2 linked regions of the Stegostoma tigrinum genome follow. The protein of the gene in region 1 interacts with the protein of each later gene in a pairwise test. Links are inferred from orthologs where the notes say so. Each region holds a gene or a part of one and is shown in the gene's direction. Other genes may lie near its edges.

Evidence for each region. The genes of interacting proteins can lie anywhere in the genome.
Region 2: the proteins of meox2a (region 1) and immunoglobulin-like and fibronectin type III domain-containing protein 1 interact in binary tests that used the Homo sapiens proteins (3 or more experiments, as listed by UniProt). The two-hybrid records come from large-scale screens. The link is inferred for Stegostoma tigrinum from reciprocal best matches to the Homo sapiens genes MEOX2 and IGFN1.

The regions. Positions count from the first base shown.
Region 1 is NC_081355.1:69,823,554-69,830,855, reverse strand, and holds the start of meox2a (homeobox protein MOX-2), read left to right. Parts: upstream 1-4,281; 5' UTR 4,282-4,508; coding exon 4,509-4,995; intron 4,996-7,302. UniProt on the Homo sapiens protein: Mesodermal transcription factor that plays a key role in somitogenesis and somitogenesis and limb muscle differentiation. Required during limb development for normal appendicular muscle formation and for the normal regulation of myogenic genes.
Region 2 is NC_081374.1:31,691,428-31,698,611, forward strand, and holds the start of immunoglobulin-like and fibronectin type III domain-containing protein 1, read left to right. Parts: upstream 1-4,161; 5' UTR 4,162-4,274; intron 4,275-7,184.

The DNA.
Region 1 (7,302 bases):
ACTCAGCAGGTCTGACAGCATGTGTGGAGAGAAATCGGAGTTAATGTTTCGGGTCCAGTGAATCTTCAGAAGTTATTTCTAAACGGTGAGATTATTTCAGCGTCTCGCTGCATGCGATAAAATCAGTCTGAAGTATTGTGTAGGAAAGGAAGGCCTGGAACATGTCACAACTTTTTGTTTTAGCAATCATAACAACACGTATTTCACAGAGAAAATGTTGGACACACTGAATAGGTGGTTGGCATTTTGAAGAGAATATGTTTGTTATTGTAAAATAAAACAAAAATAAAACAGATGTGTTAGTGTTTCGGGTGTACGCCCTTCATCAAAACGCAGTGTAACTCCTGGAGTTACAGATGCTGCAGATCTGCAGAATGTTGCAATCAACAGGCAACTTCAATTAATCTGAACCAAGTCTACACTGATGTCCGCGTTCAGATTTACGCCTCCTGTTTACGGTGATCTGTTGAAAATGAGAAGTTTCAATCCTTTATCCACCCCTCCAAATGACCTCCTGTCGCCGAATCCCCTGAAACTATCTGAACTCTAATAATGCGGAGATCTGGAGGCTCAGTAACTGGGGCCCGGTCGGTTTCCCCGTCAGGAGTTCTAAGTTAAAGGGCCTTTCGGAACACCCGGGGCCCGGCATTTTTCTAAGTATCAGACCGATGAAGATTAAGTGAAATCTCTTGAAAGCTTGGTGAGGAGATTGTAAGGACATCAGTCTAGCGGCATCTGGTTCCCGTTACTTGAGTTGTGCCATCTTCTGAAATCTGAATCGTTGTGTTGAACGCGCAGTGTTTTCTGTCAGATCCCCGATCCTGAAACCGGGTGCCAGCAAACTGAATATACAAATCCCTTCAGCCTCTTGTTCCGATGAAGAGTCAGATTGGACTCCAGATGTTAATATTTGTTTCTCTTTGCCCAGGTATCGCCAGATCCGCTGAGTTTGTCTGGCATTTGCTATTTGCATGTCGGATCTCCAGCATCAACAATGCTGTGCTTTTGTAACTGTACCAATTATTTGGCTTTCGCCTTCCCACCCCACATTTTTATATCTTAGATAAATAAGTAGCTGTCAAGAATTTTGCCTCGAATTATTTCAAGTTTTATTTTTGTTTGCATTCTCAAAAGCATGGTGCCAAGTATCTCGATCATGAACTGAAGGGAAAGAATTCCATGTTTGGAGTTCGGGGGGGAAAATGTTTGCAGGTCGCACGCTGTGCCAGAAATTAAAGCGAGTTTTGCAAAATGTAGCCGCTATCACTTTATTTCCCAAATGGAGAGGCAGGGACAAAGTCCATTTTAGACAAGTTGATTCGCTTTCAAAACAAAAACAAACAGAACGATCCGCAGGTGCTGTGAATCAGAAACAGGTCTAGGGGAGGAAAGGTCACCGGACCCGAAACGTTAACTCTGATTTCTCCTCACAGATGCTGCCAGACCTGCTGAGCTTTTCCAGCAATTTCTGTTTCGGTCCCTTTTAAAATACACAGTGAGCATGTCATTAAGAGAGGACCCAATGAGTACGTTATTCGGGTAGAGTTCACGTTTCAGCTCACTTCTGCCCAGTTGATAAAAAAAATCTCTTCACCATGCTTCTAGACTGAGTATTTTCACCATTTATTTTGTTTTCTTTCATACTTTCAACTTCGGCGGTTTTTCATTTCTGTTGTCGTGTTTTACATTTTGTTAAATGCGGGCCAACCACTCCAGCGTGTTATACGACCAGGGTAACATCTATCACAGCAAACTCATACTGAAGGGCAAATTTGGCACTGTACAGCAGCTTTTGACTCGTTCCACAATCCCTCGTCCGAGGTTAAAAAAACTCTGATTTTACCTGAAAAGCGCAGTATCACAACATTCAGGACGGAAAAATTCGCTCCTAGACAGTGAATGACTCCAAAATCCACTGCACATCAACATTATCGCAGAAATCAGTAACCCCCTTATTAAAATAAAAGTTTTTATGAAGCTATCACCAAAGTGACATTCAGCTGAGTTCAGCTCTTGCGGTGAGGATCTTGCTCCGGATGGGAACATGTGAGGAACAGAGTCCCTGATTCAGCACGTTTGATGTTATTTCACTCAAAACACTATGACATGTACTTGTCTCAACAAAGAACAGCTCTCGAACACTGAGGGAGCCTTTCAGCTGGAGGGATTTGAAGAAACTTGATTTCATTTATTTTTCAATAAAATTCTCAAATTACCAGTAGCGCCAAACGGGGTTCAGGAACAGTTTAGAATTTGCCAGCGATCTCGTTACTTATTGATTCCTAACTGCGGAAAAGAGGCTGTTCGGCCCTTCCACTGTGTGAGATTGTTCTGAAATAGTGCCGCAATTACCTGTAAGGAGATGGAGACTGTTTAAAAGTTGGTTGTGTTGAAGATGATATTGATCCCAGTCTTTTTCACTATTGTATAGAGGTGCCGTTTTCATTGTCGATGGACACACTCTCAGAGGGGAGGCACTTCTCTGGAATACACTATTTTGCTGTCCCGAGTTTCCGAAATTAATTGAGCCCCGACTGATTTGCGTGAAACATTGCGCAATGAGATGCCTGGGTGACAATTCCTGGTCACATCTGTGGAACGGAGACAGAAATCCGCCGAAACTTCGCTGGTGCCTCGCCGTACAACCTGAACCGCTCCGGCAGGAAGCTCAACTACCACCTAATCAGCTCCAGTCGTTGAAGATGTTCGGAGTCTCTAAGAAAATGTGTACAAATCGATGTCTGCGAAAAGCAACACAGGGCTTCCTTTCTAAGAAACGAGCGATAGCACAAATCACGTTACATTCGTGCCAACAATAAACTTTCTGACATTCGTCTCAAACGAGTTTCTTTTCAATTTCTGCTTTTGTTTCGGGAAAATCAAATTGTTTACAGAAATGATTAGTTGCTAGCATTCAGATTTGTTTTGCAATTTTACCAATAACAAATATCTTTATTTTCGCCCAATGGTTTGTCAATGAAGGAAAACATCGTTTCACATCGACAACTTTTAACCACAGGATTGGTAACACTCGGACAAGCGATGTGATTCCAGGAAAACACAGCTCCAACTTAATTCTGTCCTTCGATGGGAATATCAAGGCAGAAGCGATTTTTCACGCGTTTTCATCCACTGGGAGCCTTCTGTTATATAATTCCCGGCCATCCCCCTTCCCCTTCTGGTTTAAACATTTGAATTGACTACGGACGCTGACAAACTCCTTAATATTAATTCTGGCGACGAATTTTCGAAGAATTATTTTGAGGGACCTTTTTTCTGGTTGGGAGGTGGTGGGGATTTGCATGACTAATTAGATTTCACATTAGGTTTCAAAAGAATTTTACTCTGTTTAAATCCATTTTGTCTATTTCTTAGATGATCTGTTTTTTAAAGGATTTCTCTCCGTTTTGACTCTGTTTCAGATTTAACAGAAAAGGAGCACGGGAAAGGGCAGCTAATCCCGGGAATTAAATGCGATTATTGAACAGGATTTTTTTTCTATTAACAAATGAAAACATTCACTTGCAAATCAAAACGTCCATCATGAGGACGGAGTAACTGATAGACAGGAAGATCGATTGGGGAAGGGAAGTGTCCGGCGTATTTTGTTTCACAAGTTTCTTTTTAACCCTAACCCAAACACCTAAACGTGACTTCATCGGTTAGGAATTTATTCTGTCATCTGAAGATGTGCGGTTGTGTTTGCTTTGAGGACTCTGATGAGAGGATCAATCGTTCCCTTTCGCTCTCATTGTTCGCTGCTTTGCGGGACGCCTTGCTTTTGGGCTGAGTTGTACAGACGGCTCTAGTGGCACTGACTGACAGACACAGGTTCACTACCCCCTAAGTTGCGGCACGTTAGAGACATCTGACACCCCAGAGCTCCTAGAGGTTTTTTTTGTGGGGGGGTGGGAGGAATAGTTTGCTCCCACATCCACCTCACCCCCCCCCCCCCCAAACACACCTACCCACTTCCATTTCTTCAGCATCACCCGTCATCTGCAAACACACAATTCTCACATCGACAATAGCAGGTCACAGCTATACGCAATAAGGAATAAAGCCTGCCCTTAAACTGGTACAAAACCTTGTTTCTCTTTCTCTGCGCCTGCGAATTTCCGGTCATTAATTGCCATGATTTATAGGGCTGATGTTTTTTTGGAGGTAGCTTCGCATGTGGCTGGGACCTTGCCTTAGATCCAGCCCCCCTCTCACATTACAAACTATTTATATATCTTCCACGATTTCCCCCTGAAAGCAGCTCCCTGGGACAACGTGCGATTGGCTCCACTTGTCACCCGAAAATTAGCTCTGCTTGTGTGTGTCAGTGTGTGTGTGTGTGTGTGTGTTTGTGTGTGTGCCTGTTTATTCAAAGGGCTCCCGGCTGTTAAACAGCGATTGATCCAGATCTCTTTTAAAGAACCCTGCTTTCCTGGAAGCTGTTTACTTTGAAATCGAAGGTGCTTTGGATATAATTCCAGCCGCTTGGAATCTGAAACCCCGCTCCCATGGATCATACAATATTTAGCTGCCTGCGCGGCTCACATGCTCCAGCGCAGAGCCTGCACCACTTCTCTCAGTCTCCACTAGCTCTCCATGGAAGATCAGACCATGTGGCTTTTCCAGACCTGTCTTCTTCTTCTTGTATCATAACGGGATTTCCTAATGAAGAAAGCATGTTTACAGCTCAGCGTCATCATCATCACCTACATCATCACCACCGAGGTCATCCCCAGCAGCAACCCCAGGCACCGGGCGCTGGCCAGGCAACATGGCACATCCCTCAGATCTCCTCACCCCCTCCCCTGGCGCGGAACACACTCTGTCTCCAGTCGGAATCCGGGGGCCCGGAACTGGGCTCCAGCCTGGCGGACAGCAGTCCCAGCTTGAACCCCAATAACCCGCTGTCCTGTGTGTCGGGGGATTACGGGAGGCCGGCGGTCACTCCAGTGGAGACAGAGAAAAGGAATTCCAAAAGGAAAAGTGACGGCTCAGGTAAGCGACCCGGCTTCAGTCGTTTCTGAGCAGCGGACGCAACCAACTATTTCGCGCATCAACTTTGTGCAGATTCAAGCTGTACTCAAATTGTTCAAAATCACTCCAAATTGACTGGCGTAAACTGATGTAACAAACCTGGCGTTGGTCTGATTCATTCGTTCAGTTAACGCTCACCTTCAAAAACAGACATCTATATTTCCCCATAGCCCTTAACTGATTGGTTCTGGGCTGCTCTTGCTTTTTTTTTGTTTTGCAACCTCCAAACACTTTTGTTAAAAGAAGGCAGAGTTTTAACCCGATTCTTGGTCACATCCCATATGAAACCGGGAGCCGTCAAAATTCAGTCACGGGCCAATACTGAATGGCAAATCATTAAGGGTACTTTAAATGGTAAGGAATTGCCATCAGCGTTCCATTGCAATGCCGCTGTCTGAAATTATGGAATAAATGCTGGACAAGAAAACATCGACATCGAACGCAATCATATTTCACATATTTATCTTTTAAATCCAATTACAATGAAGCACCGAATACGTGATCGCCTGTAAATTCATATCTCTCTCCAATAGTCTCCATCTAAAACAAAACAGTTCTGTGAAATTCTTTCCTAACACATTCCACTGATTAAACGGCTTTGATTTTTATAGTTTCCATATAGTTCGGAATATTTTCCCCTTTCCATCTCTCTTCTTGTGTCTCGACATCGAGTTTACTGACTCGCGTTGCCCTCATTTTGCATCCCGCAGACTTTAAATTGTGTATTTGGTAGGCTTTGCTGTCGTTAGCTGCTCTAAGAAATTAAAACAATAAATTGTTCAAGCAATGGGTAAGTGTAAGTAATAGAATATGTCTCGTGCTATTCAAAAAAAGTTAGAAACCAGAACTGCATTGCAGTAGAGGCTCGATTCCTCGACAAAAGCGCATTGTATACATTGCATCCGACTTGAAGCCAATAAATAGTTTACGTCAAGATCTATGTTAAAAAGCCTTTCGATAGTTTAGTGGAAAGCTCAAACATTCTGCAGCTAAAATGGAGAGTCCCTTTTTAAAAATTATTTTCGTTTTAAATTCAAAGAGATTGAACCTAACGCTGTATGACATTTCTACTTGACGAAAGCATCGTCTTCCCCCGAAGATTTATGCTAAAATATACTTTGCGACAATAAATCTTTTGTCGGTTAATGGGCTGCATTTCCTCTGATTCACACATACATCACCAAACCTTACGAAAATAAAGCATAGGCAGGAAATAGAAAAGTCCTTTTCAGTTTCACTACAAAGTCTGAAAGTTTAAACTGCAAAGAACCAGACTCCGTATTACTGTTTTTACACCTGCTGCCAGCACCATTTCAGTCCTTCGATTATTTATGTTCATTTCGTGGTGTAAACAAAGATGCAAGTCCTTACTGAGTCACACAGAAAACGTTTTACTCTCAGAGATCGCTTCTAGTCAGGGCGCACGCCCTGGTGAACCGGTTTCGGGAGATAGCTCAGAACTCGCCGTACAAAATAACATTGTAACCTTTATGAAGTGGGAACTGTAAGTAGTGAATTAATGTTCCGTGGAATAGACTAAAGTACAAAAGGCAAGTCCCGTTTTAAGAAATCCAGATATGTGATTTATGTAGAAATTTCTCAGCTAAAGTATCTTCTCCTCACTCTACCAGAAAACATATTAAAAAAATACAGACCAACCTTTTTAAAGATGTTTCTTTCTAATAGCACTTTCATAATAAAGCCCTAGTGATTATAAAACACAAAGTAAGTATAATGCTATATAAGACGATTTGAAATCTTATTTTTTATATCAGGAACTGTTTTCAAAGGTTGCAAAAATCCATTTTCTGTGTTACTTGTAGAAACTTAAATCAAATAGTTAACTGTCATATTGAACGGTGAACAATAAAATTAAACATGAATTTCAACCCTTTATGATATAAATTATATACTTATGCAGAGAGAGAATTTTTTAGAGTATCTGCAAAATGTTATGAAAAAAATAACCTCAATTGCCTCAAATGAGGATGATAGAATTGTTCTCTATTAATATATGTGCAAACTAGTTATACTCAGTCTGCATTATGAGAAAGGAAATCATATTTAACCAGTTCATTGGAATTCTTTGAGCTGTGACTAAAGCGGTACCAGTATTGAACATAGATTTCGAGAAGGTTATTGATAAGGTGGCACATCAATAATTGCAAAAAAAAAGTTAATGCTGCAGAGGGTAACATATTGGCTTGCACAGCAGATTGACTAATCAACACGAAACAGAGAAAAGGCATAAAAAATTCATTTTCCATT
Region 2 (7,184 bases), on another chromosome or scaffold:
CATTTTCTACATCGCAATGCGACTGTTCCAAAATGTTTCCATAAACCATAAAGCACTTTGGGACATCCTGCGGTTGTGAAAAGCTGCTATGTAAATGTAGTGGTCCCACATTTTTTCTTCCACTGCCAAAAAAACTATGAAAACTACATTTGTGCCTCAATTTTGCTGGACTCAGTTAGCCAGTTTAGCCTAAAAAAATGACTATTACTAATAATAAAAACATTCCATCTTATTACACTTTTGCTACAATTACCAAATGAATGGGGACATTCTACAAAATCCTTAATGAAGTCAAAACATAAAGATCTGTTTTCCAATGTTGCTCAATATAAAGAAAGTAGGAAGGCAGATAAAATGTATAGTGGGATGGGCCAACTGCCTTCCTCTTTTCCCAGTGATGGAAATGAAACATGCATCCCAACAGCCTGACCTTCCATTGGGCTAATGGAGGAGCCAAAAACAGAGAGCTTGGCGTTCACTTTATTTATGTGGAGGTTGAATTTGACAAAATGGAATAAGCAATAAAGGTAAAGGATAGGGACGTCAGGATGAAACCCAGTGATACACCACAGATAGTCACGTGAACATACGAAAAGGAAACCATTGAAGGTGATTTGGGCTAATATTTCTTCAGTGTATAAGTCAGCACAGCTTCTACAAAATATGATTTGTCACCCTAGATAATGTACTTAAATCCTGGACTGAGACTTGAATGCAGCCTTTTAATTCAGAGGGAAGGTATTAAGCTGAATGTGCACATAGAAATGTATTTTCATTTGAAGTCATCAAAAGATATCAAATTAAATAAATATCATTTATTGACTATGCCCTAAAGCTCTATTAGGCTGCTAGCAAAGTGTAAGAGGCGTTTAGACAGAAACATGAGCAGGTAGGGTATAAGAGAGATTCAGACTGTGTGCAGGCAGATAGAATTGGTTTGGAATGGCATTGTGGTTGGCACAAAGTGGTCTGAATGGCCTGTTCCTTGGCTTTACTGATCAATGGGCTGAAGGGGCTGTTCTTTTGCTTTACTGTTCTATGTTCTATATACAAAGGATTAAAAATGTTCAGTGGTAGTAACAGACATTCAGATAAGTTTTTTGCAGGAAGCAAAGGACAATTTATTTCCCAATGTTAGGATTTTTCTGGCCCCTGCATGCTTGCAGACCTTTTTTCAATCAATCTATTCAGACATGTTACACCTCCGGAACAGGTGGGATTTGAACTTGGGCTTCTAGCTCAGAGTTAAGGAACTTAGAACTGCACCACAAGAGTGCCTTTTTCATGTCTGTAATGTTGTCAATGTTGTGTCAACTTTTTTAAACAGAGCTGTCAAATAACCTCCATCAAACTCATTCAGACAGAGGATCTTATGGTTAAGCATTGGGTTATTTTCAGTCTAGCACCAGAACAGAAGTTCATATCTTTGTGTCTTGATACTTCCTCTCTCAGTACACCTGAGGAAGGACCAATGCTCCAAAATCTAGTGTTTTCATGTAAACTTATTGGATGATAACCTGGTGTTGAGTGATTTTTGACATCAGTCAATCTGTGATAATATCATTTCAGCTACTTATTCTCTGGTTATGCAGTAATCTATTGGACACACACAATATAAACATGTCCACATTGTATTAATATAGAAGGACCCTCCCGTTTCTTCCAGTACACTATTTTGCATGTGCCTATATATTCAATAACACTTCCGCAAAGTATGCCCTAACAGTGGCACAGAGGTAAGCAGACACTGGGCACAGGAGTTGGCACTCCTGCTTCTTTTATCTCAGCAGGAAGGTTTCTTTTTAAAAAACTAATCTTTAGTTGCTTAATTGTTGAAGCAAAATTGTGCACACTCAGAAATGAGCAACTTCTTTGAGAGAGAAAGAAGGTGGTACTAGGCACTCATTTAATTAAGGCACTTTAAAATCCTTTAGAAAAGAAAATCATACGTAGTTCAGTACAGAAGCACAGGAGTATAGTAAAAAGTTTTAACAATGGCTGCCTTCAATGTCACCTTCTTAGGTAGGAGCACCTAGGTTCAAATCTTGGATACAAAAGAAGAATAAAAATAAAAGTAGTGGCAGTTAATCTTTTAATTACTTAGTGCTGGTGATGGACATCGTGTGGGCGGCATGTTGGTTAGCACTGCTGTCTCACAGCGCTAGGGACACAGATTCAATCCCATCCTCAGGTGATTGTCTACGTGGGTTTCCACTGTGTGCTCCAGTTTCCTCCCACAGTCCAAAGATGTGCAGGTTAGGGTAAATTGGCCATGCTAAATTTCCTCTAGTGTTCAGGGATGTGTAGATTAGGTGGGTTATAGGGGGATGGATTTGGGTGAGTGCTCTGAGAGTCGGTGTGGACTTGTTGGGCCGAAGAGCCTGTTTCCACACTGTAGGGATTCTATGATATCAAAATAAGTTCTGAATGTACATGTGCTAACAATGGCTAACCAATGCCAACATATTTACAAAGTTGGTGTGGGGCAGGGTGAAAGAATGGGATGCTAAATCTTAGATAAATCTCATCAAATCTGAGATTATGGCCATAGGTCATTGTACAGCTCATTCATTAACAATTAGATAATTTCAGACCTTTACAGGACACACAGTCTATACACACTGTTAGGGATGACCAGATGAGGGGAGATAGATATACCATGGATATTCAGCCATGGACTCTGGAAGAAATTATCTCTGGATCATGAGAGTGAATGCTATCGAGAAAACTGAAGAAATAGGGTAACATGAGCCTGTGGTGCAGTGCAGGTAACGGGCAGAGTGGGGAGTAAGTACAATGTATAAAAAGTTATTACCCACCTCCAATTGCAGACCGCATGAGCTGGAGGCAAGGCTGCTGAGGAAAATTGTGGGACTACCTGGATACCAGGAAAGTAGCATTTAGAAATGAGGTCATCTCTCAGATTTTAGACACAATGACACTGAGAAGATTAATTCTCCACAGGAACACCAGAACCCCGGTGATTAACCTAACAGAGCAGAGATGAGCAAGAAGGTCACAGATGATCCTGTTCTCAATATTGGGTCAACCTTCAAAGATGGAGCTACCTCAACATGACCAACAACTAGTGCAGCATGAGACTGGGACTCTGTAGGCAAACGATCATAGACACCCATGTCTTCATTATAGAGGACCTCACATTGACCACCATGACCTACTTTGCAGTCAAATTCATCATAGCCTTCTACTTCTTTACCTCTAGTTACTTTTAAGATCAACCTGCCCACTAATACATCTCACAGGTCACTGATACCCTAGCTGATAAATCTAAACATTATGTTCAGTTCATGATAAATGAAGCCTCACAGGCACAGAGTGCATTGAGTTTGCCAACATCATCAGCTTTTCCTCCATCCAGGCACCCTGTGGTTGCTTGGTGCAACTGATCAACACATACTCCCTCAACGTCCAGCTAATCTGACCGCAACAAGATCGTCTTCCATGTTTACATTTGTTCACCTGGAGATTATCGTAACATCTTTATCAATGATTTGTCCAAGGTTGCTGCAGATCATTGTGGGTGGATCCTCGAGACAAGAGATGCCTCTCAAAGAAATGGCTCTTTTGCCCCTTAGATAATTCTCAGACAGAGGCAATATAAACAAAACAATCTGCTCATCAGGAAAAACAAATCAACGTGCATTTGAATTCCTGAAAATGAGGCTGTAATTCTGGCCAAGTCAGGTTGTCCAAAGCCAATTGATTTTCACAGGTTAGCCATCCATTTATTAATGGCTTCAAATGTTTCCAGGTGATTCACCAGATCATTTGGGAACATGTAAAATATAATGGACAATATTTTTAGCTGTGCACACAGTAGCAAACGTAAAACTTTTTTTTGGCAGCTGATTAGAGTTTTGCCTATGCACATCATGTACATGTTGTATATCCTTGGTGCCATTAGTCACATGGAGCTCAGTCGAATGACCATACACTACTCCTCTCAGATCAGCAGCTGCTGTCTACCTATAGCCTGAGAGCACAGAGGATGTGAAAGGCTGAAAGTAGACACTTTCCACCAATAGCTGGAAGAAATCTGATAACTCTTGCTTCGTATCCCTGACAAATCTATTGGCAAGGACCATAAAATGTTGGTATTTACTAGGGACAGAAGTGCGATAAAGCACATTCGTCCATTAAGAAACGAGCTGTGCACTTCCCATAGGAAAAAGTGCGTAATGCAATATTAATTCATATCGAAAGAGAAGAACGTCTTTAAAAAATGACCTTTGACAGCATGAAGAAAAACCACTGTGAGTTAGAAATTACTGTGGTACAATGTGATAATTTCAAGTAATGTTTGCTTTTCAGTTCCAGAGTGGATCATGGAAAGTTCCTTTAAATTGTGTTTTTTTTTAGCAAATGGCAATACTGGATGATGAGTAAGATATCTTTCTTCAGGAATTGCATGGAATCAGTATTTAAGTTATTGCTGCCATAAAATAATTGGATTTTCTGGTACATTCTTCATGTTGAAGAAATATGGGAAACAGGATAACAGCAACAAATTCAGTTAATTAATTGCAATCCAGATTTAAAATGGACAAAAATGGGAGAATTTGAAGAGGGTGTTTGGTATGCTTGCCTTTATTGGTCAGTGCATTGAGTATAGGAGTTGGGAGGTCATGTTACGGCCGTACAGGACATTGGTGAGTCCACTATTAGAATTCTGTGTGCAGTTCTGTTCTCCCTGCCATTGAAAAAATGTTATGAAACTTGAAGAACTTGAAGGAATTTTGCCAGGGATGGTGGATTTGAGCTATAGGGAGAAGCTCAATAGGCTGGGGTTATTTTGCTTGGAGTGTTGGAGGCTGAGGTGTAACTTTATAGAAGGTTATAAAATCTTGAGGGACATGAATAGGGTGAATACCCCAAAGTCTTTTTCATAGGGTGGGGGAATCCAAAACTAGAGAGCATAGGTTTAAGGTGAGGGGAGAAAGATCTAAAAGGGACAACAGGAACAAATTTTTCAAGCAGTATGTCGAATGAGCTGCTAGAGGAAGTGGTAGAGGCTGGTACAATTACAACATTTAAAAAGTATCTGGATGGCAATATGATTATGAAGGGTTTGGAAGGATATGGGCCAAAAGCTGGCAAATGGGACTGGATCAGTTTAGGATATTTGGTTGGTGTGGATGAGTTGGACTGAAGGGACTGTTTACATGCTGTATAACTCTACAACTCTATAATTGGGCATGAGACTGAAAGCTACAACGAAAAATTTAATAGTATATCCCTGTTGCTCAACCAGTTTATTGTCATGAAGTAATTCATAAAAGATTAGTTGCACTGACCGCCAATTATAATAAAATTTTACCCCTCCTGGAAAGTGTTTATTTTCCTTAAGTTTCCATCCGAATCATTTCCACATCATCAAACGCGGAGTCTGTTGAGAGTGATATCTTGGGAGTTTACTGAAGGAACTGCGGGTGAGAGGTCGGACCCAGCTGAGGGCCCTGTCAATTGTGATACCATGCCTACTTCTTTTGATAAGAGTCCTCTCCCCATCCCACAGGCTTTTTTGCCTACCTCCAATACTCTCCCTCCCCTGAACCCCTACCTCAGGCCATTTAATGCACTTGACCTGTTCATTAAGAACTGTCAACATGACATTGGTAACCTCAATTTCTCTGCCCTCACCTCCCTCACACATTCCAACCTATCCTCTCAGGAAATGACTCCACTCTGTAGTTTCAGATCTAACCCTGATTTTGTAATTAAGTCCGCCAACAAGGGGTGGCACTGTTGTTATTTAGTAGACTGACCAGTACTTCGCAAAGGCTGAGCACCAGCTCTCAAATACCTCCTCCTTTCACTCCTGGACCATGATCCCACCATGGAACCTCAGGTGACCTTGTTTAATTGGTCACTAAATTCATTTCATCTGGAGATCTCCTTTCCACTGCCTCATAGCTTCTAGTCCTCCAACCTCACACATCTTCCTTCCACCTCTTTCCCACATTCCACAAACAGGACTGTAGGGCAGACGCATTGTTTCTGCCTGCTCCTGCCCCACTGTTTCCATCTCTACCTACCTCAACTCAATGTTTTCTTCCCCTTGCCCATCCTCTTTCCACTTACATCTGGGATTCCTCTAATGCTCCACGTCAGTCTCAGAATTTCCAGTTTGTGAGCTCCAGCTGGCTCCTCTTTACCATGGACATGCAGTCCCTTTATACATCCACTACTCCCTTCCCTTCCTCAACATCTGTTTCTAGTTACAGGGACAGACTGGCCACCAATACCACTACAAACCCACTGACTCCCATAGATACCTTGACTATACATCCTCACGCCCTGTTTCCCGTAAAGACTCTATTTTATTCTCCCAGTGCCTCCGTCTCCATCGCATCTGTTCTGATGATGCCAACTTTGAAAAGGCGAGCATTTAAAATGCCCACCTTCTTCCCCAGCCAAGGATTTCCAAACACCACTGTTGACCTCAATCGAGTCTGACCCATCTCCTACAATTTTGTCGTCACCCCCACCCTTCCCTCCACAACAGTGATAGACTCCCTCTTGTCCTCATCTACATCCCACCTGCATCCACATCCAGAGGATCATTAGCCACCATTTCTTATTCTACATAGGTTGGTTCAATGCCTGGAGGAGGACTTATAGATGATGTTGTTTCCAAGCTTCTGCTACCCTTATGCTTTTAGGTGGTAATAGTCGTGTATTTGGAAGATGGAGGAAGCTTGGTGAGTTGCTACAGTGTTTCAGGTAGATGGTATACACTCCTCTCACTGAGCTTTAATAGAGAGGAATGAATGCTTAAGGTTGTAGATGCAATCCAAATTTAACTGGCTGTTTTCTTTGGGATAATGTGGAGCTTCATGAGTGTTATTGGGGCTGCAATAAATCAGGCAAATGGAAAGTATTCCATTGCACTCCTGGCTTATAGATGGTAAACAGGTTTTCGAATCTTTGGCTTTAGAGATGAGTTACTTCCTACAAAATTCCTAGCTTCTGACATGCTCTTGTAACCGTAGCATTTATAAAGCCGATCCAGTTCATTTTCAGGTTGATGAGAACCCTCAAGATGTTAATAACAACATTCAATGTGAGATGGTTAGATTGTCTTTTGGTTATTTTGGTCATTGTCTGATACTTGCATGGCATGAACATTACTTGCTACATGTTAGCCTAAGCCTGTATCTTGT